4 linked regions of the Diceros bicornis minor genome follow. The protein of the gene in region 1 purifies or fractionates together with the protein of each later gene. This does not show direct contact. Links are inferred from orthologs where the notes say so. Each region holds a gene or a part of one and is shown on either strand. Other genes may lie near its edges.

The links.
Region 2: the proteins of PTP4A1 (region 1) and CNNM3 purify together in Homo sapiens (affinity purification with mass spectrometry; 6 studies listed by BioGRID and IntAct, with this or other methods). This does not show direct contact. The link is inferred for Diceros bicornis minor from reciprocal best matches to the Homo sapiens genes PTP4A1 and CNNM3.
Region 3: the proteins of PTP4A1 (region 1) and CNNM1 purify together in Homo sapiens (affinity purification with mass spectrometry; 4 studies listed by BioGRID and IntAct, with this or other methods). This does not show direct contact. The link is inferred for Diceros bicornis minor from reciprocal best matches to the Homo sapiens genes PTP4A1 and CNNM1.
Region 4: the proteins of PTP4A1 (region 1) and CNNM4 purify together in Homo sapiens (affinity purification with mass spectrometry; 6 studies listed by BioGRID and IntAct, with this or other methods). This does not show direct contact. The link is inferred for Diceros bicornis minor from reciprocal best matches to the Homo sapiens genes PTP4A1 and CNNM4.

The regions. Positions count from the first base shown.
Region 1 is NC_080753.1:7,766,424-7,774,113, reverse strand, and holds the start of PTP4A1 (protein tyrosine phosphatase type IVA 1), read left to right. Parts: upstream 1-4,673; 5' UTR 4,674-5,001; coding exon 5,002-5,106; intron 5,107-6,334; coding exon 6,335-6,427; intron 6,428-7,004; coding exon 7,005-7,135; intron 7,136-7,690. Other genes in the region: uncharacterized LOC128125822 homolog, read left to right, coding at 1,140-1,178, 4,562-4,657. UniProt on the Homo sapiens protein: Protein tyrosine phosphatase which stimulates progression from G1 into S phase during mitosis. May play a role in the development and maintenance of differentiating epithelial tissues.
Region 2 is NC_080779.1:15,808,365-15,815,300, forward strand, and holds the start of CNNM3 (metal transporter CNNM3), read right to left. Parts: upstream 3,004-6,936; 5' UTR 2,979-3,003; coding exon 1,625-2,978; intron 1-1,624. UniProt on the Homo sapiens protein: Probable metal transporter.
Region 3 is NC_080745.1:64,801,953-64,809,394, reverse strand, and holds the start of CNNM1 (metal transporter CNNM1), read right to left. Parts: upstream 3,005-7,442; 5' UTR 2,770-3,004; coding exon 1,200-2,769; intron 1-1,199. UniProt on the Homo sapiens protein: Probable metal transporter.
Region 4 is NC_080779.1:15,849,101-15,857,083, forward strand, and holds the start of CNNM4 (metal transporter CNNM4), read right to left. Parts: upstream 3,017-7,983; 5' UTR 3,002-3,016; coding exon 1,600-3,001; intron 1-1,599. UniProt on the Homo sapiens protein: Probable metal transporter. The interaction with the metal ion chaperone COX11 suggests that it may play a role in sensory neuron functions. May play a role in biomineralization and retinal function.

The sequences.
Region 1 (7,690 bases):
TGGGACAACAGCACTGAAAATGAATAAAAAGGAAGCTTTAGCTTTGACGCAGAAAATTACATCAGTCCTTGACAAAACCGAAGACTCCTAATTTTCAAAGCGCTTCCTTTCAGCAGTGCCTAACCTTTCATTACCTGTGACAACACATCAAGTGAGCAACAGTACAAAGGATGCATGTGATTTCGAAACGCCACAGTTGACTGCAGCTGCCCGTCGGTAGCACGGAGGCGTGACCAGAAAGGACTGTAGGCAGCTAGGGCTTATCCGCATCTCGGGACTCGCTCCCGTCTTCTGCGGGATCAGTCTGCGGAGAGAAGGTTCTCCCCGCCTGGAAGGGCCCCCGGCGACAGGCGCCCACGTGTCCGAGCCTCGGGCCGGGCATTCCAGGTGTTGAGTCACCAGTACGGCGGTCATGCGACATAAGCACTGATGACGGAGATGGCAGGGGCGCAGGTGCCAAGGTAAACCGCTGGCAAAGGTGACTGAGGTGCAGTGAAGGCAGGCGAGCGGCGTCCGGGCTGAGACGCGGCCCCAGCCCTGCAGGGACTGCATTTAAGTTGGAGGCAAACTTCAAGCCTCCCCATGTGACATGTGCGCACTCGCCGCTGGTTTTAACTCTGAGAACCGGGCTGTGCGGCGTGATTCCTCCCACCCACAGACCGGACTCTCCCCCGCTCCCACCCGCGCCGCAGCCCAGGCCCCGTCCGCCCCGCGTAGCTCCCCGGCCCCCGCCCGCCCCCGGCCGGGCCACGCGCCCACCCCGCGCTCCGCCATTCATCAACCGGTTCACACCGGCGGCGGCCGCCGCGCGCTGACGTCCGCAGGGGGCGGGGCTCCGCCCCCGCCCGTCGGCGCCCGGCCCGGGGCCCGGCCGCGATTGGTGGCCGGCGGGGCGCACGTCGCGCCGGCTATAAAAGGGCGGGCCTGTGACGCAAGGGCGCCTCGGCGCGCGCATTGGCTGCCCCGCCCGCAGGCCGGCTCGGGACGCGCTCTCCGCGGAGCCGCTCGCTGCATGGTAGAGTCTGGTGCCCCCGCCGCCGCCCGCCGAGCCGCCGCCGCCCCGCGACCATCGCCGCCGCCTGCCCTGCCGCCGCCGCCGCCCCCGCCGCCTGCGTCGCCGCCGCCTCGGGACCGGCTGTATGATTAGGCCACAATCTTCAATGAGTAAACATATCGCTGTGAGTATCCGCCGCGCCGCCGCCGCTCGGCCGGGCCCCCGGCCCGCCGGCGCCTTTGTTCGGAGCCCGGCGTCCGCTCCCGCCGCCCCGGCCGCGGTTCCGGGGGCCGCGGTTCCGGGGGCCGGGCGCGGGCCGCGGGAGGCGGTTGGCCGCGGGGCACCGGCCCGAGCCCCGCGAGCCGGGGCGGCGGGCGGGGGCGGTGTGGGCCGCCGCAGCGGCCGGGCGGGGCGCACAAAAGCCGCTTTGTGACCGGCGCCCCCGCCCCCGGCCCGGTCTGGGCGCGCGGGCGGGCCCGGCGGCCCGGGGCCCCTTTGTCTGGCCGGCGGAGCGGCCGCCGGGCGCGGAGACGTGGCCCGGGGTGGGGCGCGGGCTGCGCGTGTGGCTGCGGCCGGAGCCGGCGGGCGCCCCCGGCCCGGGCCGGCGAGGGTGGGCGGGGCGCCCGGCGCGCGGTGACGGTCTCGGCCGGGGCAGCCTGCCCCGTGCTCCGCGGCCCGGCCGGCGCTCCGACAAGATGGCCTCGGCGCCGGCGCCCGGCTGGAGGCGGCCGACCCCGTGATTGCGGGGCGCCGCGGGCGGCTCCCTGCGCCACCGCCGCGGGGCCCGGCGCGGACTCGGCCAGGTGAGGACGCCGGCGCCGAGCCCCGCCCTGCCCCAGGGTCCCCACCTGGTAGTGCGAGCTGTCCCGCATTGGACGCCCCACTTGGGGCTCCGGGGAACGGGGACAAGTCGAGTCTTGTCCCTGCCCTGGGGCGCGTCGGTGGGGAAGTGGCCCGGGTCTGAGCGCCTGGGGAGCTGCCAGGGCTGCTGTCGCGCTGGAGCCAGGCGTCCCGGCCGGGCACTCCCTGCCAAGCTGCGACTGGCCCCGGATGGCGCCTTGTAATCGGGGGCTGTCGAGATCTGCTGCTGAAATCCTTCGCGTGCTGTGTCGTTGCCTCCTGTTGGCGGTGGCAACAGTAGCCGCCCGGAGCCAGCGGGCTGAGGTTTGTCTTCTGTCCGTGGTGGGAGCCTCGACCGTTCCAGGAGTATTAAGTTGTTACTTGCGCTGCAGTTGGAACCGTCGGCCTGCTTGGGATCCAGATTCTGAGGCAATGCTTCCTGTTACTCTTTATGTGAATTTTGTTGGGTGGCGGTAAATCAGTTGAAAGCCAGAAAGCTAGATCTTTCCCAGGAGTAAGCGGCATTTTGCACACGCTTTAATATCCATGCGTTTCCTAAGGTGTAAGTGGATGGGGAACAGAGTCTCCGGCCAGCTATGGGACAGAGCGGTTACAGGTTCATTGCCTTGACTCTGCAGTGTGACGGACTGACTGAAGCTTTGCACAGAAGTTGCTCTTCTCCCCCCGTGTACGTTACTGTGATTATATGCAACTGATAAGTGGGAGGCGAAGAAATTCCTTGGTACTTCCAAACTGCCTCTGATGGATAGTTTTTCCTCGGGTGAGGACATGAGACTGGGAGAATGTCTTGGGTCGAACAGGAAGGTGGTTGGTATTAGTGGTCACTGCTACTTCGGTGGAAGTCCCCCCCAGCCGCTGGGTGGCTCCACTCAGTAAGACTAGCCAGTTCACTAAGTGAATTATTTCTGTATTGCTTTTTCTACTTCCTGGTGAAACCTGAAGGGATATGGCCAGACTCAGCTGCAACAGGAATTTTAGCTGTTAAATAGGCTTGAAATTCTCTCTCTTTTGTAAATCGGCTTTCAGTTGAAAAAAGATATTACCTGGAAATCAGAATACTGAGATAAGAGTCATTGCCTTTAACTGCTTTACAAATGACTTCCTTAATTCATTGTATGTCTTTGGAAAGGTGCCAGAATACACTTTTTATTCTAAGGAAGTAATATTTAGGATTTGAGGTGACAATATAATTGAAATTATTTCCAGATTACTGCAGTCTCTATTCACGGTAATCGGGAAGTTCTTGATGGTAGTTTAGTCACTCGTTTTTAACCCAGCTAGCAAGTAGATGAAGTAACAACCTCTGAGTGCTTATTTGAACAAATTTGGGGGCTCATTTGAACAAATTTGGGATAACGAAAGTTTTCTTCTCTGTGGGATGACGTTTTAAGAAATGACTCCTGCCGCTAGTTACTTTATTTTGACAGAAAAATGAACTGGGTTTTTGACTTGATGTTTTCTGTGATCTGCTAGATCTCTGCGTGAATTATTCTTCAAAATTTAGCCAAGTTCTTTTAGAAACTACTACCAGCATGGAACTCTATTTAAAGGTGTAAAATGAAAATAGGAGAAGATACTTTGAATTTAGTTTATTCGGTGATTTACCGCTGAGAATACATACCCGGAAAGTGTTAGGGGCGGCAGCTGGCGCTCGCTGCGTCTTGTTAACCTGCTGCTAATATTTCTTAGTCCTCTCTATTCCCAAGTACACAAGCTTCTTAGAAACTCTTTGGAAGATTAACATTAACGTCGATGTTTTGTGTACCTATTCTGAGAATATCTATGAATATTCAGTTAATGTTTGATATTCGCAAAAAATTAGTTCTCTTAAGGGGAGCTTGGGAAAAATACAAATACTATTTATTTGTTGGTGGTAGTAGTTACCTTGCTTTTGAGACCTGTGGACGGTGCAGGGTGACTTCCACCACCCTACCACCTCCTCCCTTTGCCCTTTGAATTAGAGTCCAGTTTTAGGCTGGATAAGTGAAATTTTGGTTTTAAAATACAAAAGAATATTACTCATTATGAATATCTTTTATAGTTATAAATGAGAATTTTTTTAATTTATAAACATATATCCTTGTAATACTTCACATAACAAGTTGACTAACTTCTAGAGACTCAAATGAGGAAAATCTGTTAAAAGGGAATGATAAATTAATAGGTTGTTAAGGATCAGATGAGGTAGTGTATATGGAAGCATTTTGAAAGCTAGTTTCTTTTTTTTCTCTTAAGAATATACTGGTTAAGCCTTTAAAGGAGTAAGTAAATTATGCAAGGACTAACAGCTGGAAAGTATTCATGAAGTTTGTGATGTGTAAAAATATTTTATTAGCTGGAAAAATCAATATAGAAAGTTGTACATATAGTTTAGAACAATGTAAAGCAGACAACCATTAAAAAGAATAATTAATAGAAGGATCTGTAGAAGGGATATTGACCAAATGTAACAGTGGTATTCTTTAAGGGGTCTTTGTAGTGGATCAGTAATTTCAATTTAAAGCAGTCTATTTGTGAATGCTTGCTTTATGCTTATTGATTTAATCTGTAATCACCCTTGTGTTTTGTGGTTCAGTAAAAGTTGAAAAGGTGGCTTGGGCCCAAATTTCAAAAGGTAGTTGTGCACTTAAGTACTATAAATGCCTAACATATTCCTTTTGAATTGGAAAACAACTTTTTTTGTCTCTCTCTCTCTCTTTTAAACAGCAGTTCTGTGGTGTTCTTGGTCACACATTTATGGAGTTTCTGAAGGGCAGTGGAGATTACTGCCAGGCACAGCACGACCTCTATGCAGACAAGTGAACTGTAGAAATTCATTACTACTCCACCAAGAAGCCCCCATAAGAGTGGTTAACCTGGACACAGTGTGGAATTGAAATCCACAGAGCATTTGACAAGACTTCTGACCTGGATGGGGTAAACCTCAGTGCACTTCCTTTCTGTTGCCTCAGTATTACTGGATTGAAGAATTGCTGCTTCTTGTTAGGAGGTTCATTTCATTTCCCATTACTCCCAGCTCCATACTCAAAGCACTGAGAATTTCGAGTGGAGTATATTGAAGTAGACTCAGTTTCTTTGCATCATTTCTGTATTCAGTTTTTTTAATTCTTTCATAACCCTGTTGAGTGTTTTTAAACTAAATTAACATGGCTCGAATGAACCGCCCAGCTCCTGTGGAAGTCACATACAAGAACATGAGATTTCTCATTACACACAATCCAACCAACGCAACCCTAAACAAGTTTATAGAGGTAAGATTTGATACTTTTTAATGTCTTAAACTGATTGCAGTTTAATAGTGGGGCTTTTTATCTACCAAAATAAATATTATTTTGGAAAATTTGAGATGATATGCCTACAGTTCTAAGTCCCAGAAATGAAATGTCAGTGTCTTTCTGTTAGAGGTGAATTGATGTATACATTTCAACAAGGACATGTGCTTGAGTTAGTTTGGATTTGTAAGTTAGTATCTAGTTCTTCAGGCCTCAAAATTTGCTTAATTTAAATTTATATGTGGACACTATAACAGTATGGCTCTCCCTTACCTTATAAGCCATATATAGGAGGAAGGCTGCTGGTTATGGATTGTTCCTATATCCGCTTAGCCTGATGACTAATACTGTAAACCGGAGTTAGTTTATGTCTTGACCCCATTTGATACTTAGAATCAAATTTTTAGCCATTAGCTCTGCTTCTTGCTGATGGTTGCTAGATGAACTCTTTCACTACCTACCTCTGTGACTACAAGGAAGGAATGTAATGCTAAGAAATTTATTTGAATGCATACACATTTTATTATATAAATATCTACAGATGCTCAGAGACAACAATTAGGTCTTCCAGATCATAGAAATACTTTTATTTTTGATTACCATCTGTATGTTTTTTAAATGCTGGAAGTCGTAATTAGTAATAATCCATTCTGAGTCTTAAAAGCCTGTAGTTGGAAATGGTGTGGGGTTTTTTACACTGTTTTCGGGATTTTAGAGTCTTTGAATATACTTTTAAGGCTTTGAATTACACACTGTGCTGCCAATGAGCAAAAAGTTTAAGGAGTTAGTATAATTGAGTCAAGTCACGTGATTTATAGTTGTTAGTGATTCCTTTGTTCTGTTTACCTTCATCCCTGCATTACTTCTAATCCTCCTTTATTAGTGCTTCATCTCTGTCTAACCAGTATTACCATGACTGTAAACAATTTTAGTATGTGAAGGGCCACAGGATTTAAAACAAAAACAAAACTTCTGATTTATTAAAATATACGTGATGTTTAACATTCCCTTTGTGCTATTCTAGTATTGTCATTTAAAACACGATTTCCCTTCCCTGTTAAACATACATAAGTTATACCATTTATTCCATGATTTTCTGTTAACCAGCAATACCTGTTGGAGAGATGATCAAAATGACGAATGGTGACCAGTAGTGGTGTGGTTATGAAGACCTCATTAAGTGTTTTTTTATGTGTGTTTTATCCAGGAACTTAAGAAGTATGGAGTTACCACAATAGTAAGAGTTTGTGAAGCAACTTATGACACTACTCTCGTGGAGAAAGAAGGCATCCATGTTCTCGTAAGTATTTAATAGTTTCTATGTGTTTATGATACTGTGCTACAAAAGTTTATTTAAATAAACCACTGACTTCAAAAAGCTTAATTTAGGGCCGGCCCCGTGGCTTAGCGGTTAAGTGCGCCGTGCTCTGCTGCTGGCGGCCCGGGTTCGGATCTCGGGCGCGCACCGATGCACCGCTTCTCCAGCCATTCTGAGGCCACGTCCCACATGCAGCAACTAGAAGGATGTGCAGCTGTGACATACAACTATCTACTGGGGCTTTGGGGGAAAAAAAATAAATACATAAAATTAAAGGGGGGGGGATTTAAATATTTTTAAAAAAAAGCTTAATTTAAGTTGTTACAAAATTATGCAGTATCTTAATTTCCAAATAAAGTGAAAGCTAAGCAAAGGTTTGAAGTAATAGATCTTTTTAAAGATTCAGCATTTATTTGCATTTCATTGACAGTGGGGTTTTGTAAAACACGGTTACATATGTTAAAATGCTTTTGAAAACAGTTGGGTGTTAGCAATTTAGAATTATTAGTGTGATGTTTATATTAAAAATCTGAAATGCTTAAATATTCTTTTGACTTAGGATTGGCCTTTTGATGATGGTGCACCACCGTCCAACCAGATTGTTGATGACTGGTTAAGTCTTGTGAAAATTAAGTTTCGTGAAGAACCTGGTTGTTGTATCGCTGTTCATTGTGTTGCAGGCCTTGGGAGGTAAGAGAATCTCTTAAATCCATTTAATGGTGTTGGTCTTAATTCCAGTAAAAACTTGACTTTGACTCTAGTAAAGACTCAGTTATCACTTTGTGAATCAGTTTGCTTTGTTAGGTTACATACTGAACTAAATTAAAAAGTAGGTGAATGTAACAGAATAATGTATTCCAATACAGCTGGAACTAACAAATGCTATAGCTGCAATTTACACTTGTCTCTGTGGGCAAAATTACTTATAGAATTAATCATGTGTGCTAGGTTGTGTCGGTATTGGAACCATTGTCCAAGCTCATTGGGAAAAGGGATTGTGAATCTAAAGTGGTCTGCATTGCATATGCTGTACTTCTGATGTAGGGTTTTGATCCTAGAGATTCTGATTCGGTAGGAATGTATTACCCAGTTCTGCCAAAATATGCATGTTGATATTTGTAAATCACTACCACCACCCTCCACCCCCACCCAAAAAAAGTTCTAGTGGAGAAGAGTGAAATGAAAATCAATGGCCCCAGGGGTATTGACATGCAACTGTGTCGCAGTCTCATTAATGATAAAACA
Region 2 (6,936 bases), on another chromosome or scaffold:
CCTACCATCATCTCTCATCTGGACCCCCCTAAACACTGGTCTCCCTACTCTGGTCTCCTCACCCGTCAGTGACCTGTGAAAACCACTCAGACGGTGCCGTACTCTGCTCACAGTCACGGCCCTGGCGATCAAGTCCACCCCTCCAGGGTCTCAAGATGGGAGGTGGCAGGGGCGGGACGGAACCCTCCCCAGTTGACTCCAGGGCCAGCACTGCTGGCCACCAGGCCACAAGAACCACCACTGCCTCGGAAACTGCAGTGGCCCAGATGGAGTACTTACCACCAGAGGCTGTCTGGCCCCCACTCCAGGCTCCCCTGCCCAGAGAGGGGCTGCATGGCCACTTTCTCAGGAAACTGCCAGAAGCACCCAAGATATTCTCTAACAGAAAAATCAGAACTGCCCATCAAAGTCTCCCACCCCATCTGAAGGCACAGTAATAACAGTAACAGCCTATTAACACCCAAGTCTCCTGCAAGGATTACAGGAGATGATGTGTGAGAACACCTACAAGTGGCTGGCATACAGCAGTGTGACAGCAGGAGTAATGGGGTCATTACCACAAAGCCTTGCCTCCCTGCCCTGACTGTCCAGGGGCTCAGAGAGCACCTCCCAAGCCCACCTGGGGCCAGGAGACATCGCAGCTGCCAGAAAGATCAGAGGGTTCTGCTCACTTCCTGGCCTCACATTATGCAGCCTTTAGGGTCAGGCCCACCCAGAGTCCTGGGATGTCCCCCATGCCCATCCTGCAGGAGTTCAGATGTGAGAAGCAGGGCTGGCCACCAAGGAGCAGCCAGGATCTGGAGAGCACACCCAAGCCTGACAATGGAGAGCACTGCAGAGGAACTCACACCTCCACACCGGGAGGGTGGGTGTCAGTTTTTACCTGCAACCTTAGAACTATTTAGATAGACCAAGATGAAAGGAGAGGGTGAAAAAGTGGAATTAAGGGGGAATTTGAGAGCCCTTACTCAGGATTAGAAAAGAGAAAGTTAATAAAAAGAGAAAGAAAGAAAAGAAGACAAAGGAAGGGGAGACTATATCCACATCAACGAAGTTGCTTTTGGTGAAATCAAAATGGAAGTTTCTTCCACACCTGCAGAAAAGCATTTATGAGTCATTCCCTTTTCTGTACTCAGGAAGGCAGCAGCCCTTCAGTGACCTTAACAACGATACCCTGGAAACATCACCAGCCCAGCTAATTTGATACCATATGTGTGCAGGTAATTGCGTCCAGATATGTGCAGACTGTACTCTTTTCTATGTTCTTTTAGTTTCCACCCAAGAGTGTCAACCTGCTACAAAGACAAAGCCCACAAAAATGACCTGGGAAAGGGAAATAGCTGGGGGTCAGAGCCAAGTGAACACACCTCCCCAAACTGGGGGCCGACCAGGAAAAGGGGGATTTTGCTCTCCGTAGCACTGTCACTCTCTGAAAGACAGCCTTTTATATATTACAAAAAATCATTGAGCTTCAAGGCCATCCTCTTCTTTAAAAGAGCACTTAGAGATCTCACTGCCCTCCAGAGGGATGGAACCCCTTCCTCGAGGCTTCCATAAACTCCCACTCCTTTTGTAGGGGAGGCCGCTGGCATTCGAGTCCCCTCCGCGATTTCCCGGACGTTACCTCGCTTGAACTCCTCCAGGACGGCGTCCAGCTTGGTGTCGTTGAAGACGAAGTGGAGTGGGTGATTGTAGAAGCGGGTGATGGTGCTGAGCGGCGTGCAGTCTTCGGGGTCCACGAAGGCCAAGTCCTTGAGGTAGAGCATGTCCACGATGTTGGAGCGCTCCTCCTCGTACACGGGGATGCGCGTGTAGCCGCTCTGCATGATGCTGGCCAGCACGCCGAAGTCCAGCACGGCGCTGGCGTCCAGCATGAAGCAGTCCTCGAGCGGCGTGAGCACGTCCTCCACCGTCCGGCAGCGCAGCACGCCCTTGCTGAGATCGCTGTAGGGGTCTCCGCCGCCGCGCGCCAGCTCCAGCACGCGCTCACGCAGCCGCCCGGGCCGCGCCGCCAGCTCCAGCAGCTGCCCCACGGGTAGCGCCACGGGCAGAGTGAGCAGCACGGCCAGGCGGCTGAGGACCAGCGCGCGCGGCGCCAGCGCCAACGCCCAGCGCCCGCTCACGGCGGCCGGCACCACCTCGCCCACCAGGAACACGAGCCCCGCGCTGCCCAGCACGGCGGGCAGGGCGCGCTGGCCGGCCGCGCGGTACAGCAGCACCGCCAGCGCCGCCTGCGCCAGGCTGGCCAGCAGCAGCAGCGCGCCCAGGGCGCAGCCGGCCCAGCGCCGCACGGGCTCCAGGCGCCGCGCCGCCACACGCTCCGCCTCCGAGCCGCTCTCGCGCAGCACCTGCACCTCGGCCGGTGCCAGCGCCAGCGCGCTCAGCTGCAAGCCCCGCGCCAGCGCCGCCAGCGCCAGCAGCCCCGCCGCCCCCAGGCCCAGCGCCCAGGGCGGCGCCGCCTCCTCGGCCGCCGCCCCGCCCGGCTCCGCACGCACGGCCAGCAGCGCCGAGTGCGGGCGCACGGCCTCGGCGCGCAGGCGCAGCAGCGCGCGCCCCTCGCCCGTGGGGGCCGCCGCCTCCTCGGCCGCCGCGCCGCCCGGCTCCCCACGCACAGGCGGCAGCGCCGAGCGCGGGCGCACGAGCTCGGCGCGCAGACGCAGCAGCGCGCGCCACTCGCCCGTGGGGGCCGCCGCCTCGGGCGCCAAGGCCGGCCCGCCCTCGGGGCAGCCCGCCCCCTCGGGGGCCACCCAGGACCAGGAGCTGTTGGCGAAGCCCGAGCCGAAGAGGCGCAAGCGGAAGGTGGCCTCCGGCGCGGCCCGCACCTCCCCTCCGCTCGCCCACCCCGCGCCCGCGGCCCTGTCCTCCTCCAGACAGACACCCAGCACTCGCGGGCCCGACGCCGCCTCCCCGGCGGCGTTGCCCAGGCAGAACGCAGCGAGCAACCAGCCTAGCCGACCCGCCGCCGCCGCCGCCGCCATCGCCTGCTGCCCCCTCTCGGCCTCCCGTGCAGCCTACCCCGCCGCCTCCCCCGGCCAATCGTCGCCAGCCTGGGCGCCTCCTCCGCCAATAGGCGGCTGGCGGGGGCGGGCCCCAGGGTCGGACTAGGCTGCGCCGGGGAGTAAACAAGCGGCGGCGCGATCCCGGGGCGCGCCGGGGGCGTGGGGCTCTCGGCCCCGCGGGGCTCGGCCGCGGCTGCTGGGGCCAGAGGTGGCCTCGGACAAGAGGACGCAGAGCGGCGAGCTGGGCCGCCTCCGCGGGCGTCTGGTCCCCGCGGGCCGTCCCCGCGCGCCGGCGGCCGGGCTCGTGCTCTGGGAAGTCCCTGGCTGGGGACTGCGGGCGCCGAGCGGAGCGGCTTGCAGAAAGATTCCAGTGTCCGGGAGACACTCTGTTTTCTTAGGGCAGGGCCCCTTGAACCACTGACCTAAAGAGCAGGGAGGGCTGGAAGAAGGACCGGTGACTGGGCGTCGGGAAGCTAAGGATTATTGAAGATGCTTGTTGACCGTGCCCCACTCTGCTGTAGGTCTGGGGACCTGGGGACGTGAGACACCGCCCCTGCCTTCAAGGAACCTGCGTTCCTGCCGGGGAGGATGGTGAATATGTAAACGTGCGAAATCACGACATCATTGGATCCTCGCAGCAACTTCGTGTTATTAATATTTTACGGGAGAAAAGGTGAAGCATGACTCGGCATGGATGCTGGATTACAACGCGACCTAATACCCTCGTCACCATCCCAGCCCCATTAGGAGACGGCAGCTCTGTCAGGAATTACTGTGTCTGGTCGCTCCACTTCTAGCAGATCATCCTTGGGAAAATAACTCCACAGGACCACGAAGAACTATTCAAGAGACTCCTCATCGGAGAGTTATTTTAGAAGACAATATGGTCCGTTGACAGTGTGGAATGTCTTTTACCCATTATATATGATCTTTATGTGGCTGGAAGGAAATAGACAGACTGCTAACAAGGCTTCTCTATGGGTGTCCAGATTAACTATTTTTGTATTTTCTTTACATTTTTATGTATTTTCAAATTTCCTAACATAAGTAGACCTTGGTAAGACTTCATACACATCATTTACAACGATCTGTGTAAGGATTCTATAGAAACACATTTGCTATGTCATGAAAATAATATAAAAGACTATAGGTACTGTGGCCACAAGGAAAATGTTTGTGTGGAAGGTAATGTGCCAAAATGAATAAACCCATGGTGAATGACCAAAAGAAAAAATTTCTTGTGAAAAACTCTTAAAAGGATGGCAATAGTGTCTCTTCTACACTGTAAACTCAGCACGGTGACTAGACCAGCCACATCTCCATGTTTCCAGTTTTTATACCCCAGACGGTGCTACACCCTTTGAGTAGTGTGCCTTAACTTGCAGATTACAGAATAAGCCATCAGCAGAAGCAGTTATGACACCACTGAGCCTTTCCACTGGATCAGCATGTCTCCTTTGAAGAAAAAAATAACGGATTCAGCCCCTTTAGTTCTCACTTGTGTCTCCAAATCTAGATAAAATGCTGACATTGAGATAGAATGGATCACAGGCTTGAAAGGAGTCATGTGCCTGAAAAGTTACTAACTAGCCAAGAACAATTCCAGAGGAAAGACAGGAAAACTCCCTATGGATTTAGACAGGGCTCTGACCTTTGCCAAGTTATGTTTTCCTTGGTCTCAGGCTCCCTTGGAAAACAACCTATACCTTGTTTTTGGGGGAAAAGCTTGGAGTAGAAGAACAATTGGGTCACATTTGGAAAACACAAATGGTCATTAAACTGTCTGTACTCAAGGACAAAGAGTCCAGTACAGGGCAAACCAAGCTGCGTGCAGAGTGACTTTCCAACAATAGAGGCCTCAACAGTACTTCACCAGCCTTCTTCCTTGGCTCTGTGCCACTCTTTGCCCCATCCCCTGGATAGTCACAACATCAATGGAGACACTTGCCACTTGACCTTCAGGTCCCTCGTTGACCCTCCCTGGGCCATTTTCAGTACTGGTCATTTGGTTCAAGACATTTCCATGTTTTATCTAAATATTTATTCTTGAGTCCCGCCCCCCCAAAGCCCAGCAGATAGTTGCATGTCATAGCTGCACATCCCTCCAGCCGCTGCACGTGGGACGCGGCCCCAGCATGGCCGGAGAAGCGGCGCGTCGGCATGCGCCCGGGGTTCCGAACCCGGGCCGCCAGCAGCGGAGCGCGCGCACCCAACCGCCAAGCCACGGAGCCGGCCCCTATTCTTGAGTTTTAAACCCATAACTATTGTGTGTGACTTCACTGGCCCATTCCTGCTTATCAAGTCTGCAAACGTTACTTCCTCTAGCTGGTCTCCCTCGACCATCTTGCCTAGGTTGCGTCCAGGTTATGGGAGCTATGTGCTCCTCCCCAATAGTATTCAGTACTTACCTTATTGTAAGACCCATTCACTCATTCATTCAACAACTATTTCCTGCATTGAGTGCCTGCCATGTACCAGGTACTGTTCTAGCGCTGGGACTACGTGGGAATAAGGAAGTCCCCCCCCTCCTGAAGCTTAGGTTCTAGTGTGGGGACAACAGAAAATACATAAATCTGTGTTTTAATATCTGGCAATAAGTGCTATGGAGAAAAACAAGGCAAGATATGGGGACAGACAGAGGGATTAGGGCCATGCTGTTTTAGATGGGGTGACCAGGGAAGGCTTCTCCAAGGAGGTGACATTTGATCAGAGGCTTAGATGAAGTGAAGGGGTGAGGCTCACCAAGACCTGGGAGGAGTGTTCCAGGTGTAGGAGACAGCAAATCGAAAGGTCCTTGCGTGACTCCCTCAGAGGGGTCTTCCTCACTGGGCTTATTGAGGGGTTGGGGGCAGCTCGAGTATAGCCGTGGAACAGGTAGATGGATGAAACTGACTCTTGCCCACCTATACACAAGCTTCTGCGTGAGTTATTCCTTTTGTCTGGAATGTCCTCTCTCTGCCTATACAAGCACCTCCCTTTCTGTAAACATTCCCCCCAATCTGCCTGCTCTGTTAAACCTGGCTTGCCTGAGCCCGTGGCCACGGCACCTGTGGGCAGCGCAGGAGTCTGCACAGCTGAAACCTCAGAGTGGAAGCAGTGAGGTCGCTCTCGGGCGGCTCTTCAGGGGAGGAGTGCTCCCACTTTGACACCACAGCCTGCCCATGAGTACGGACCTTAAAGGCAACTGCATGTTATAAAACGTGATCACACTTTCGGATCAAGCTCCTTTCTCCTCCAGCCCCCAGGGGGAGAGAGAGGAATTTGCCCATGCCAACTGCTCCCTCCAGTTCCTGCGGGCAGAAGACCCCATGACATCCATTTTACAGGATTCCTGACTGTGGCAGTTGAGCACGTTTGCCCTGTATGTCTCATAGCAGCTGGAACGCTCTAGCTCCTGTGACAACAGCCTTGATTATATAATTTTGTAAATAACATTTCTGCTTCCTTTTCACTGTTAAACAGTCCCAGAATACCTGTCTCTTGCCCTGTCACAGGTGACAGCCAACCATAGCCACTTCCATCTCTATGACAGGCACTGAGTATTGACAGAACTCGAACAGTCAAATGGCAGACTCACCAAGATTTCGTATCTCATTTTTTATTACCAATCAAAAATAAATTCCATATATTGTTTAGCAAATATTATCATTGTTTTGTGACAAAAGACACAAGAGTCATAACAACAAAACTCCCCGAGAGTCAAACTCATAACAATGCCAAAATAAATCACAAAAATATACAAATTAAAATCTTATGCAAAATAAATACGAGTTATTTGCTACGGTGGCTGTGACTTGCCTACCCATTTGGAGGCCATTTGCGAAGGTCTCCCTTACACAGGAAGACGCGCAAGGAGGGCCAGCTTCAGGGCACGGCTCAGCCCAGGAACCAGAGGTTGGAATAGGAAGTGACAAATTGCACTGGGAGGAGGAAGTCA
Region 3 (7,442 bases), on another chromosome or scaffold:
ATTCTAAAGTCGGGGGATTGATGTTTGTTTTGTTTTGTTTTTAATAAACATGCCATCTCATATATACAGATGAATACCTCCTTCAAAATAGTCATTCTGGAAAGTTCTACTGTTCTCAAATCATTTCTGGAATTGCTTTCAGGGTCTGTGAGTTAGTCTTCTGAATGCTCTCAATGGTGACTCTTGAAGGTAGATCTGATTTTCAAAAACAACCAAAGGTCTTCCAGTGTCAGCTCTGGCTAACTAGGGTGATCAGTCACATGTGTAATGCCACCTGTAATCAACTCTAAAATATCCAGGCCAATTTTTCTGGAGTGAATTGTACTCAACCCCAGAAGCCAGTTTCTAAAGGGAAACTCTAGACATGTAGTAAATGTGTTATAGGCATGACATCAAGGGGGGGGATGGTGACTGCTTTGAAGGAAACCCCATTAATTTGGATATGCAAGTTTTCTAACGGGTCCCTATACCAGAATATTTCCTCAGGTCCAGATCTACCCTACCTCGTGGGACCACAGTTCCCAGAAGTACAAGGACCTCACTGTCCTACTCAACTTTTAATCTCCAACCTGGGTACTTGGTGTAATGAATAGCTGATGGAAAACTCAGTATGAGGGGAGAATGCCTAAAGTGTCTGGGGCTGAATCTACGTGATCCAAAGGCCAGAACTAGGACCAAGAGAGACATTCTGGAGAGGTAAATTTCTGCTTCATGTAAGAAAGACATTGTCAGCAGCTGGAGCTGTCCAGCAATGGAGTCAGTTTGCCCTGGAAATGGTGAGCTTCCCACCCAGGTAGGAGTTTAAAGCAAAGGCTGCTTGTTATGGGAACCTGCAGAGGTTCTTCCTGTAATAGGGAGCCATGCAATCCCATCCAAGGGCTATCCCCTGAGTTCAACCTGCACAATACCCGGCAACTGTTAGGCCCTGAAAAAATACTGGAATAGAATGAATGAGGAACCGGGAGTGAGGCACATCTTGTGAGCCAAGTAAAGAGGAAGAGTCCAGGGGCTCAGGCAGCTGCAAAAAAGGTAGGGAGAAGTGAAATAAAAAGAGCCAGGGAGCCATGAGATGGGCCTTCCTTGAGTTTTTGGTACCGTAGCAGAGAAGTTGCTTTGGGTACTGAAGCCTCACATGTTTATGAAAGGGCAATACTTTTGAAGGGGGTAGGAGTTGAGGGAGGAGATAGACCACTGCTCACCCTTCTTAAACTCCTCCAGCACCGTATCCAGCCTGGTATCATTGAAGACGCAGTGCAGGGGCCGGTTGTAGAAGCGGGTGACGGTGAGAAGCGGGGTGCAGTCGTCAGGGTCCACGAAGGCCAAGTCCTTGACAAACAGAATGTCCACAATGTTGTGCCGCTGGTCGCCCTCGTACACGGGGATGCGAGTGTAGCCGCTGCGCAGGATCTCGGAGACGGTGGCGAAGTCGAGCACGGCGTCGGAGCGCAGCATGAAGCAGTCCCCGAGGGGGGTCAGCACCTCCTCCACCACCTTGGTGCGAAGCTCCAGGGCGCCTTGGATGATGTTGAGCTCTTCCTTCACCAGGTCGCTGTAGGGGTCCGCAGCCCGCAGCGTCTCAAGCAGCTTCTCCCGCGTGTAGAAGGTGCTTATTTCCTGGCGCAGCGCCCAGTCCAGCAGGCGGCTCAGTGGGTAGCACACAGGGAAGGCGGCCGCCATCAGGAGCCGGGTCAGGCACACGCTGTGCGAGGCAATGGCCAGCCCGTGCCGCGAGCACACCGAGTAGGGGCAGATCTCGGCGCCCAGGAACACGGCGCCGGTGCACACGAGCGCCGGCAGCCACGGGAAGTGAATCCCCGCCTCACCGTAGTCTTCCTCCGGACCCCCGACGCCCGGCGGCAACGAGGCATACAGCCAGCCGGCCAGGGCCGCGTTGGCTCCGGCTTGGCCCAGGAGCAAGGTGCAAAGCAGATGGGTCCCCCTGCCGCGCACGGCCTGCACGCGGCGCGCCTGCTCCTGCTCGGCGGCTGAGCCGCTGTTCCGCAGGACCCGTAACTCCACCGGGTCCAGCGAGAGCAGGCTCAGGCGCAGGCCGCTGAACAGTGCGGACAGGGCCAGCAGCAGGAGCGCCCCGAGCGCCCGCAGCCACGCGGGGGGCAGCAGGTCCCCGCCCGGGCCATACAGCCGCGGGCGGACGCGCAGCAGGAAGCCGCCGGCGGCGCCGTGGTGGTGCCAGGTGCGCCCGTCCCAGGCGCACAGCGAGAAGAGCTTCCCGCCACCGTCCGCGCCGCCCCGCTCTGCCTCGCCCTTGCGCAGCTCCCGCACCCGCACCTGGACTAGAGCAGAGCCTGCTACGCCTCCGGGGCGCAGGGGCCCCAGGACCTCCACGTCCGACGCCCAGTCGCTCTGCTCGCGGCAGCGCTGCGGCCCCGGGGAGCGCGTGGGGACAGCGCTGGGCAGCAGGCCACTCCCGCCCGGGGGCTCCTCGATAAACACGAGCCGCGGAGCCCAGTCGCCGGTGCCGTTCTCCCCCGGGGAAAGGGTGGGTGCGGGCACCAGAGGAGCAGGCGCCGCGGGCCCGGGCTGGAAATAGACGCGCAGGAGAAAGCTGGTGCCTTCGGCCGCGCGCAGGGTGCCCCCCTCCAGGGACACGCGGCCTCCAGCGGTGTCCTCGGGCCGAAGGCCCAGCAGCCAAGCGGCGGCGGCTGGGGGCCGAGGAGACAGGGAGAAGAAGAGCAGGAGCACAGCGCCTCGGCTGCAGCAGTGCCGGAGCCTGACACCCACCGCTGCTGGCGCCGCCGCCGCCGCCATCCTGCACCCGGCGCGGCTGCACGTGATACTGCAGAAAGCGGAGCAAGAGCTGGAGGGAGGAGGAGCCGGGGCCGGGAACTGGCCTGGGGCAGGTCAGCACGTGTACGCCCCCTGCGCGCGTGGGCTGGAGGCGGTGAAGGTTCAGACCCTGCTTGGGCAGGTGGTCCCCGCTGGAGGCTGGAGCTCTTCACGCATCACTGCATAACCCTAACACACTTCGGTGTATCTGAGATGCAGCTGGGAAAGCTTGGTTTGGAGCATGGCCTCCACTCCAGCAGTAGAGCGCCCCTCCGCAGACTCCTACCCGGCGGTAATTCCCTGCCGGCCCACCGCTTCCCCATTGGCCGAGGCAATTTCCCAGCATTTCGCCTCTTGTCCTGCCTTTTGCGTTCCCCCTTCTGGTCAAAGGGTATTCTGGAGGCAAGTCTTGAATCTGTGAAAACTTTATGTTTGGTCTCAACTCCAACTGACCTTTCATGTTTCAAAAATTTCCAAATTACTTAAATTCAATTCCTTGTTAAGATTCGAATGTAATACCATTGTGCAATGGAATACTATGCAGCCAGAAAAAAAGAATGAGTGTATCCATGTGTTTGTGATATGGAAAAATCTCCAAAGTAATAGTTGAAAAATAACAAGGTGCAGAAGGATGTATATAATATGCTACTATTTGTGCTAAAAGTATTCATGTATAAATTTATATGTACATGTATACATATATAAAATATTAGATTTAACATACAGAGGATACACAAGAAATTTGTAATAGTGTTCCCCTCCTGAGCAGGACTAGAGTCTGGAAGTTTGGTTGAAAGATACTTTAAAATATAGGGAGAGAGAGATGAACAAGAAGTTACAAAGATAATACAGAGATCCCAGTACCCGTCACCCACCCAGTTTCCCCCAATGGGTACATCTTAACTAGAGTAGAATATAAATTGCAGGAAATTGAAATTGGTATGATGTGTGAGTATGGTTCTATGTCATTTTATCGCACGTGTAGATTTATGTAACCATCACTGCAATCAAAATACAGAATTATTCTATCATTACAAAGATCTAGCAGGGAAACTTTTGATTGAATTCCTTGCATTGTTTGAATTTACCGTGGGCCTGTATTACCTTATTTTTACTTTCATGCATTTATTGAAAATTTTTATAGTAAAATTCACTTTTTGGTGTGCTGTTCTATGAGTTTTGACAAATGCATATTCATGTAACCATCACAATCAAGAATACTGCCATTACCCCCCAATATTCCCTCTTACTGTCTCTGTGGTCAACCCCTCCCCCACCTCATCCTCCGGCAACTACTAATTTGTTCTCCGCTATAGTCTTCCTTTTCCAGAATGTCATGTAAATGGAATAATACAATGTGTAGCCTTTTGTATCTGGCTTCCCTTACCTTGTTAGCGTAATGCATTTGAGAGTCATCCATGTCGTAGTGTTTATCAATAGTTCATTCCTTTTTATGGCTGGATAATATTCCATTATATGGGCTGTATCACAGTTTGATTATCTGTTTACTGGTTAAAGAACATTTGAGTTATTTCCAGTTTTTGGCAATTATGAATAAAGCAGCTATAAACATTCATGTGCAGGATTTTGTGTGAACGTACGTTTTCATTTCTCTTGGGTAAATTTACCATAGGTCTGTATTACTTTTTAAAATATAAAAGTAACAATAATTTGGCATACTACTTTGGCACTTCTAATTTAAAAATAATTGCTGTGTGTGAAATCTTATTTTCCATAGAATTTGTGAGACCCCAAAGATAAAGAAAGCCCTGCAAAGAATAAAGCTCAATACAAATGGTCCAGCTAAAAGTTACCTTCTTTTCACAACAAACTTTTATCATCCGGAGTGGAAAGAGCCTCTTTCTGGTTGGGGATTAGAAAGGCCTTAGTAGGCTGCTGGTCACATTCCTACATAGGCTGCCTTTCACACTCTGCAGGCAATGGGAAACAAACCTGCCATCGCCTTAAAATACACTAGATCCTGTCCACTACAAGCTGCCTCTTGCCTAGGCTGCTTAAGAGACAGACAGAAGATTTCATCTGAAGAGGGCACATTGAGGCGTTTATTGGAAGTACAGGGGATATACAGGGGAGAAGTGGGGTAAGGCATGTGATTGTTTCTGGTAAGTGTTGGCAAAAAATCTCTCACTTTTCTCCTGACACTTAGATCTCTCTCCTCTGCCAACATAAGCTCCTCAGCACAAAGCTGTTATCCTAAGGGCTCTCCCACCTCTTTTAGATCACGGGCCTTTATCATCCACATAATACCACCTAACACCTTTATCAAGCTTTAGAGTTGCAAAGGAATTTCATATTTATTATTTCACGTGCACAATGGCCCTGTGAAGTAGATTTAATTATACTCATTTTATAGATCAGGTTAAATGACTGGTGCAACTGATTTGGATTCTAGGTTGATGCTCCCTCACACCACAGTGCTGACCAGTACCAAAATAAAACTTTTCAAAAACGTTAGATCAGGAATTAAAAAACCTAAAGTTCTGATTATAAAGTATTACATGCTCATTGAAAATAAAATTTATTGCAGAAAAGCATAAATAAAAATAAACTATATCCCCACCAACCAGAGATAAACACTGTTAATATTTTGACACGCTTTTTTATTTTCTACATAGATTACTGAGAAATACACACACATATGTATGCCCTCATATATTTCTGTATTCTATAATTGAATACATATTATACATACAATTCTGGTCTGCTTCTGTCACTTAACATATGAAGAGCATTTTTCCTAATGTAATAAAAAAAACTTTCATAAACATAATTTTTTTCTTTTTGCTGAGGAAGATTTGCCCTGAGCTAACATCTGTTGCCAATCTTCCTCTTTTTGCTTGAGGAAGTTTCACCCTGAGCTAACATCTGTGCCAGTCTTCTATTTTGTATGTAGGTTGCTGCCATAGCATGGCCACCGATGAGTGGTATAAGTCAGCACCCAGGAACCAAACCTAGGCCGCTGAAGTGCATGCTGAACTTAACCACTAGGCCACAGGGCCAGCCCCATAAATGTAATTTTTAGTGAATGATACTATTACATTATTGGATATATATATATTATATTACACTATATTATATTATATTACATTATATTATATTATATTGAGAGAGAGAGAACTGTAAGAATGATCTCATTTCTGTTTGCACCAGCTCTATTATTAACAAGTGTTAGGCTTAGGAAAGTCAATCTACTTTTCTGGGCCCATTTTCTCATCTGTGAAATAAAAGAGAATTTTAAGGTCCCAACCCTTTTATGAGTCCGTGAGTAAGGGCTAATGTACACTGGGGAAAGATAATCTAGAAAGACTAAGTACTTTTCCTTTACTGAATAAGAGATTCTGCAAAAGTACTGAGTTTCCAGAGCTCTATTCTAAGTGAAAGGATTCCTGGGGACAGGTTCAGGCAGTGTGATTCTAATAAGGAAGAGCTGCCAAAAATAGCTCCCCAGAATCTAAATGTTGACTACCTTTCTAGTTTACAATATAAGCACTTCCTAGTTTCCAAGATGGGCAATTCCTCACTTCCTAGAGAGGTGGAGGAAATGATACTTGCCTTTAATCTCATGACTATGCTATTTCATAATATACATGTTAAATGCTTTTGCTTATTTCATTACTTGTTCATTCATTCAATAAATTCTTGTTAGTCAACACGGTGCCAGGCCCTGTGCTAGACATTGTGCATAAACAGATACCATCCTTGCCATGATGGAGCTGAGAGTCTACTGAGGATGACAGACATGAACCAGAGACTGCTTACCTACCTAATTAATTAATTACTCCTATGAAGGAGATGTTCAAAGTGCCATGCAAGTATATAATCTGGGGGCCCATCTAGAGAGGAAGGTGTGGGAAGACTATACCCAAAAATGAAATTTAATGAAAATGGAAGAATTTATACACTAGGAAGACTATGAAAAATGTATTTTGTGCCTTCTATTCCTTTTTGTACTACTTTTAAAACTATGACAATGTAATAATAATATTCTGATAATATAATCCATTAACATTTATTGAGTGCTTACTATGTGCTGAGTACATTATCCTTTCTAATCCTCACAATAGGTGAGAAAACTGAGGCTCTAATTGGGTAACTGTGAAAGCCACGTCATTAACGGGGAGTGGGGCCCAGTTGGTTGGACAGACTCTGAGTCCAGAGTCTACAGTATAAAAAATTAGGAAAATAATAATACCAAGTAACACTTACATAACGTTTACTAGATATCAGGCATAAATTAACACATTTAATTCTCATAAGAACTTTTGGAGGTGGGTATTATTATGATTATTTCCACTTTACATGAGGAAGCTAAGCTACAGAGAGATTAAGTACCTTGGTGGTCAAGATTTTACACTACACTGCCTATAGCTTTGTCCATACTTTTGTCCATTTACATACATTATTTTACATAGTTGCACTTGTAATGTTCCTACTATTGTATTATTCTGTTTCCTCTCATTCGTCATTATGGCATAAGTATTTTCCCTCATTAAAACTATTTATAAACATGTTTTTCCTTTTTCCTTCCTTCCCCTCACCCTCTATTGTTATTGTTGTTTATTTGTTGGTTTTACCACAGGCACAGAGGATTGAGTTAATCATTTTCAGTTCATGGGCTATGAAAAGGCCTCCTC
Region 4 (7,983 bases), on another chromosome or scaffold:
GATGCTGAGATTCAGTCTGTGAAACTGAAAAAGGCAGGGTACCAACTCCCCATCCTGGCATCTTTTCAGACCAAATCTGCCAAGGCCAGCCAGCTCCTCCCTAGCCCACTCCATCACCCACTGACCCAGCTAGTTTCAGGCTCTCCTGCACCCACTGTTCTAGAAACAACTGACAAGGGTCTGGGGCTTGCTCCCAGGCTGACCTAGGTCTTAGCCAGCAGGAGCTCTACCTATGGGAAATGAAGCAAAGTCTCAGGGTCTAGGATGAGCACCCCTGCACCCCATTCCTTTATAAAGAGTTTCCCTTTCTGCCTCCTCATTCCTCTTGGCCTAGGAGGGTTTTACTCTATAATTGGCTTGTTTACTGCCACGCCGAGGGCTTCAGAGGGGCAGAGGTGGGAGGAAAGTTTTGTTGGAAGTAAGGAAAGGGGTGTGTGCCCTGAGCTTTGAGGCTCCCTCAAACCCTCCGAGCGCCTCTCTAACTACCTGAGAACTGGCCAAGAAGCCATGTGAGAAAAAAACACAAGGCCATGCAAGGCCAGCTGAAGATTCCAGCAGACCGCAGGAGAGAAGCTTATGTTTGGCGCCTGGGAAAGACAGAACAATAACCAAAACTTAATCTGCTTGCTTCTGCTGAATAGTCAAAGCATTACTTGGCATTGTTCTGAGTGGGGAGCCAACTAGAGACCTCCCAATTCAGCTTCTGTGGGCTAGAAGCTCCAGTGACGGCAATCCCCTGCTCAGAAACCTTCCATAGCTCCAAGCTCCAAGCAAACTTACCATCCTTTCAGACTCTTCACAAGGCCGCTAATGACTCAGCCTCTCCCTCACTGACAAAGATCAGCAGAGCCTATCCTCAGCTGAACAGGACCACCTGCTGGGCAACAAGCACATCCTTTGCTCCCCTGCTCAGGTTCTCGGCTCATGGGGTTCCCTCTGCCTCAGGTACCAAGTCTCCCCATCTTTTAAGTCTGTCCTCAAATGCTCCCTCCCCTGTGAAGGTTCTCCCAGTTCCCCAGCTCCTTCCCCACCCCAGTCACATGCGCCCCTCTGGGCTCTAATCTCCATGCCCTGGTGTTGGGCATTTGCCTTACTCTGTCTTTTTGTGTGTGTGTGTGTGTGAGGAAGATCAGCCCTGAGCTAACATCCATGCTAATCCTCCTGTTTTTTTTTGGCTGAGGAAGACTGGCTCTGAGCTAACATCTATTGCCAATCCTCCTCCTCCTCGCCCCCCCCCCCTCCGCCGCCCAAAGCCCCAGTAGATAGTTGTTTGCCGTAGTTGCACATCCTTCTAGTTGCTGTTGCCTTACTCTGTCTCGCTTCAACAGCTCCATGAGGCCTTACTCTATCCCTCCAAGTGGGCAGGTGTGTCACTCAGCTTTGATTCACCTGAAGCACAAAGCACGGTACCTGGCAGACAGCAGACGCTTAAGAACTGTTTTTGCTGTCCCAAATACCGTTCACCTCAGAGGCACAAGAGGTGATGGGCAAAGGTACACAAGGTCACACGAAAGGAACACTATGAGCAGCAGACACAAAACTGGCAAGAGTACGAGAGGGGTGACAAAAGTTAACCAGGAGAACTGCCTCAGGCCTTACCCTTCTTGAACTCCTCCAGCATGGCATCCAACTTGGTGTCATGGAAGACAAAGTGCACTGGGTGATTATAGAAGCGGGTGATGGTCTTGAGGGGAGTGCAGTCATCCGGGTCCACGAAGGCCAAGTCTTTGACATAGAGAATATCTACAATATTGGATTGCTCATCTTCAAACACAGGGATGCGGGTATAGCCGCTTTCCATAATCTCTGACATCGTGTTGAAGTCGAGGATGGCATCACTGCGGATCATGAAGCAGTCTTGGAGCTGGGTCATGATATCCTCCACAGTTTTGGTCCGTAGTTCCAGGGCGCCCTGGATCATATTTAGCTCCTCTTTCACGAGGTCATTATAGGGCTCTGTCACTTTCAACATCTCCATCAGTTTCTCCCGATTGTAAACGGTGCCAATCTCCTGGCCCAGAAAAAAGTCCAGCAGCTTGCTGATGGGGTAACTGAGGGGGAAGGTGAGTAGCATGAAGAATTTGGTGAGAATGAGGGTGTTGGCACCCACAGCCAGCCCGTGTCGGGAGCACAGGGACTGAGGTACGATCTCCCCAAAGATGACAATGCCAATGGTAGAGGAGGCCACGGCCATGAGTCCAGACCCGATGAGGTTGTCTAGAATGATCGTGAGGGAGGTGTTGACCAGCACGTTTCCCAGGAGCAGCGAGCAGAGCAAGTAGTTGCCCTTGCGCCGGATGGGCTCGATCTTGCGGGCATAGCGCCTCTCCTTCTGCGTGCCACAGTTCTGCACGATGCGCAGCTCCATGGGGTCCAGGGCCATAAGCCCCAGGTTGAGGCCAGAAAATATGCCCGACAGCACTAGCAGCACCATAATGAGGAGGATGTGCAGCCAGAGGGGCAGGAACTTCCCAGCCTCCTCCACCATAAAGAGCAGCGAGTCCTTATCCGTCCACCTCTGCCAGGGCCCGTCCACCCCGGCCCGAGTGCACAGTGCATACAGCTTCATGTTCTCGCTTCTCCGAAGGAACTTAGTGAGCACCACCAGCATCCCCGACGTGTTCCCGCGGCTCACGTTGACCAGCTGCTGGACGACCAGGTCCTTGGTGAGCTCGGGGCAGCTGGTGGAGTTGTGGACGGCCTCGGAGTTGTCCACCTCGGTGAAGGAGATGAGGTTGCTGGAGATAGAGCCCAGCCTCTGGCCGTACAGCCTTAGGTTCACCGTGCTGCCCTCGGACACGAAGATGATGCCATCCCGGTCCATGCCGCACGATTTGTTGCAGCTCGCCAGCCTCATGCCCAGGATCGCGCCTCGCTGGGGGTCGCCCTGGCCCCGGGCCCCCCGCGCCCACAGCAGCACCAGCAGCACCAGCGCCGCCAGGAGGAGGCGCCCTCGGGCCGGCCCGCCGCCCGGGCGCCCGCCCCCGCCCACCGGCGCCATGTTGCTCCGGCTCGGCCGCCGCCGCTCCCCGCGCCCCGCCGCGCAGCCCCGCTCGCGCCGCCGCTCCTGCCGCTGCGCCGCCGCCGAGCCAACTGCCCGGGCCGCGGGCCTGACGTCAGGTCAGCGCCCCGCCCGCCCCGCCCCGCCAACCCACGCCCCTCATTTGCATGGGAGGCCCCGCCCCCGGCGCGCGGCTCCAGCGCCCGCCCTTAAGGCGGTCCGGCGCTTAAGGTGGAGCGGCGCCGGAGCGCGGGAGCCGCCGGCGGGCGCCCGCCCCGCCCTCTTCTTCGCGCGCGTTCCTCGCCCGCCTTTCCGCGCGAGTCGCGCTCTCCTGCGCCCGGACTCGCTCTCGGGGCCGCGCCGTCCCTCGTCCGCAGCCTGGCCGGGCCTGGCGTGCTCTGCCCGTTCCCCTTCCGCAGAAGTCTGCAGCTCGGGGCGGCTGGCCCTTCTCTGCAGGAACCTCAGAAGCCACACCACGTTGTGATTCGGCGAGGAAAATGCTTTTCCTGATATAAGAAAAGAAAAGAGGAACCTGAGGGCTGAGGCCTGCGGGAGGCCTGCAAGTCCACCGGCATTGCAGCCAGCGCCTTGAAGACTTTTCTGGCCTCCGCACTCCTGGGGGTTTTGCTGGCCTTGTCCCAAGGCCAGCAGTGGCTTTTCCCAGCCCCAATCTGGGAACTGAGGATGTACAATGTACCTGCAGATAGAAGGGCCAGGGTCTGGCCTGGCTTATCTCATGTCGTTTCCATTTAGGACACAAATATTGAGCTTCTGTGTGCTAGGCACTTGTTCCCGACTTTGACAATATAGCAGTGAATAAGCCAAAGTCCCTACCCGCCCGAGTTTACAGTCTAGAGAAGAAAACAGGCAAAACAAACACATACATAATATTTAATCCTCTGAACAACTCTAAGAGGTAGTGTTATTATTTCCATATTACAGATGAAGAAATTGAGTCTAGGCACACATCAGGGTCCTTAGAGATTGGGGTCCTTAGAGATCGTCATCTTAGGGGCAGGCTTGTGTGACTTTGGGAAGGCAAGTTCGAGGGTCTCTCAGCCCCAGTTTCTACATCTGTAAAATGAGAGTAAGAATTGTACCACAGCACCACTTCACTAAGCCTGTGGCCTAGGTGTTAAACACGACAGGACAACTCTAAATGTTCTTTGGCTATGTAGCTGTTGTTGTTGTTGTTGTTGTTGTTGCTGTTGCCTGCCCTTCCGGGACCAAACCCCTAACCCCAAATTGTGGGGGTGACTGGCCATCTGGGGCAGCCGCATGTGGAAACAAGCCGAGAGGCGCGGCCCCAGCCTAGCCCTGAGATGACTGCTTCCTGGACGGCCCTACCGCGGTGTCAGTTGGCAGCTATGAATTACTATGAATTAAGTGCCAAAAACTCAGGGTGTGTGGGGAAGCCCGCAGCTGCCGGCCCTGTAGGGGGAAGGAGACAAACAAACATCCCTAGCATAATTGCAGAGGTGCGCTGAGGGAAGACTCAGGGACCACGTTGACCACTGGGTCTCGGAGCAAGTTTTTTCCCAGCCCTGGAGACAGAGAATCCCCTTTAATCTCCCTCTGCACAAACACTTGTGTTTATTTTTATTTGGTATGCTGTTTGCCAATAAAAGCAACAATCAATACCAGCCGGAAAGAGTCTAAACAGAGAGGAACAATCATATACTGTTATGGGAGGAGGCGTGGTGGCAGAGGCCTGATGTAATGAAGCACTGTTAGCAGGGTTAGAGGGCTCTGCATACTAGCCCAGCCGAAAGCAGTCCCTTGCACGTAGGGGCCTCACTTCATATTCCACAGTGAGGGTCCAGCCAGCTAGTTTTGTAGGGAACAGGAGCTTCAGGGTGGGCACTGGCCCAGACAGAACAAAAGCAGAAAGCAGAACCTTTGAGCGACTGTTCCCTCCCACCTCCACCCACCAGATGAGCCACCTGCATTGCCTCAAAGCAAGCCCGGCTCCGCAGGAGGCTTCTGCCCACCCCCCCCCCATCTCTTTCCAGCTGGCTTTAGGATGAGTGCCCTCCCCCACTGTACTTAGAGACTTTCCCATTCCATTATCGACCCACTGGCTATTTTTATTTTGCCCTTTTCAGACTGTCTCTACTCAGAAGCTCTCTACATGTGCACTGAGTCCAAAGACAGAAGCCCGCAAAGGGAAGGAAAAGATAAGCTTTTAAGATACTTGGGTTAAAAGTGGGAGGGGTGATGAGGGTCTGGTAGGAAAAATCAGTCTCTGCTGAAGTTCATTTAATTATACCCATCTGTGATTACATTCACATCTGTGATGAGGTAAATAGAGGACAATCAACGAAGTAAAGAAATGAGATTCCTCTTTGCCCTCCCAGGGCCTTCAATCTAGCGGAGGAGACAAGAATCCCTCAGTGAAAGGTGAATGCAGTATGACGTGGAGAGTGTTGGAGGAGGCATTGGAGGCCCAGGCTTGCATCCCTGGTTAGAGCATTTAACCTTTCCAGGTCAGCAGAGTTGAAAAACCTCTCCCACAGAGTGCTGGGGGCAACATGGAGTTGGAGGTCTATTAATATGAAGAGTGGGGAAGCCTGGATGTGTGTGTGGCTGCTGTGAGCCAGGCTGTGCGAATGGCAGACAGTGACTGCAAATGAGAAGGCCGTCTTCTTTGGGGAGCAGACCTGTTTCTCTGCCTCTGGGTGGAGAGGCCCTTACTCACCTAAGTTGCCTCCATTTGCAAGTAAGGGGTTTGGGAAGGTCCTTCTCAGAAGGATCTGGTACCTCAGCATCTCAAAGCACTCCATTCAGAGATCCTTGGACCTGATGGGTTCTTTCCAGGTTTAGGCCCTGTGGCAGCACATCTACGCCTCTGTGACTGAGCCCACTCCATCTGGTCCTGTGCAGAGAGACAGCCTTGAAGGTTTATGGCCCCCTTTTCTGTACCCAGCGTTGCACTGACATTGAGGATCAGATGATGAACAAGGTCCCGAATTAGTAACCTGGGATCTCCTGCTCTTCTCTCTAGTCTGGGATCCTCCCAGGCTGGATTCCTAGCCCTTTTCAACCTCTGGGTCTCCAAGATGGGGAGCTGCTGGCAGAGAAGCTGCCTGTCTGCTGGTGGAGTTCAGAGGCTGAGGCCTGCCATGGCCCCACTCTGGGCAGAGTCCCTCAGCGGATGCCATGGACCCTGGGGTGCGAGAGCCTGGTTGGGAGCAGTGGGACACCTTTTCAGGGTGAAACCTGGGCCATCATCAGTACATACAGTGGCCTGTTCACTGCCTGCCTGTAAGTGGACAATAACCCTGAGCAGGATATTTGCAGATACATCCATGCCATTCAAGTGTCGCAAGAGGGAAGGGGCAGTCATCCCTCCACAAAGGGACGGAGCAGGCATGGGGTTAGCTGGGATGGTGCCTTTCAACTCCCAACTCAGATCATCCCAGCAAGTGGGGACATGAGGACCTGGTGTCATGATTCCTACCTGGGACAGACACTTCACTGAGCCTGAAGCAGGGATGAAAACATCATGTCAGCGAATCCAGGCCAATAAAAGGATGTGCCTCTGACAGGGAGTCAAATGCCGGAGCAGCAAAGGTGAGGAAGCTTGTATTAATTGGGTGGGCTTCAAGGCTCCCATGGCCATAGGACAAATTGTCCTCCTTTGGGACAGGACCATGGGAGGCAGGATGCCCCACCATGGGGGTTCAGGCACAGCTCTGGAGGCACACTGCAGGGCTGGCATGGCCACAGATTGCCTGTGTGACCTGGGACTCTGGGACATTCTTGCGTGCTGAGAGAGAGGATGCCTGGCCCGTGGTAATAGCTCAGTAAACGTGATCAGTAACCATGATGATGATGGAAATGATGAGGCCCAGAGTTTTAGAGGACACTCAACTTTCCTTAGCTCCATTATGTCTCTCCATCCAGCTTCAGCTACAGCCTTTTGTTCTTTCCCTTTCCTTTCCTGCAGAGGGAGAAAATCAGTAGGGGATTATGGGGGAAGAAAGGAGGCTGAGGTGGGTCAGCAAGGACCAAGCAAGACCACATCTGGACACCTGGGCCTCCACTGTAAGTGAAGAAAGGAGGCTGGGGCAGAGGTAGAGCTGGTGGAGGGAAGGCGAAAGGACTATCGTGCTATTTCACAGCACCAAGAGGCTCAGGCTGCAAAGGCTGGCAAGCTGGGAGAGAAGGAAGCCTGTCACTTGGGATTGAAAAAACTTAACAACCCTGCAAGGCAAGGCCTGCCAGGAAGCCCCTGCTGCACTAAGGCCCCTGGGAGGAGTCCCACGTAGCACCGGGTCTGAGGGTCTGAGTGGACCCAGGACTCTGCCTGCTCTCTTTCCTTTCTGCTTCCCTCTTCCTATTGTGCGCTGGAGCACCCTCTGTCCCCAAGACTGGCTACCCCAGCAAGCTTTTCCTTCTGCCTCTGAAAACACAAAGACCCTTTTTTATTTGAAGATATTAACTGTGAATCACTGGAGAAAAACAAGAAAGAGCAAGATGACAGACACTGAGTAGTATTTACAAAGGCTTGAAAACAAAGTTCTTGGAGTCATTGTCCCTAGTTTCTGCCCCTTTTTCTTAGTTGGCAGATGGGAACAGGCTGTAGCAGAAATGTCATGGGCTCTATCCCTTATCAGCTGGTGAATTGGGGCAAAGTTCTTCACCTCTTAGGGCGTTTGGTTTCTCCATTTTTAAGATGAGGATCAAGAGACCCTTTTCGCCGTATCAAAAGGACTAAATGAGCTCGTGTTTGAAAGCACTGTTCCGTAAATGTTTCTTTTCCTTTCCCCAGGCCAGACTTTCACATTACGTTTCGTTCATTTATTCATTTGTGTATTTTTATATTTTTACTGGGCTTTTAAAATTGCTAAGTTAGACGTGTTCATTGCAACAAAGTCAAATAACACAGGGTGTATAAAGCAGAAAATGGAAGTTCCGCCTAGAAAAACAGATTGTTTTTTTGCAAAGTAGTCCATCACCCTCTGCCTCTTCCTTTTCTT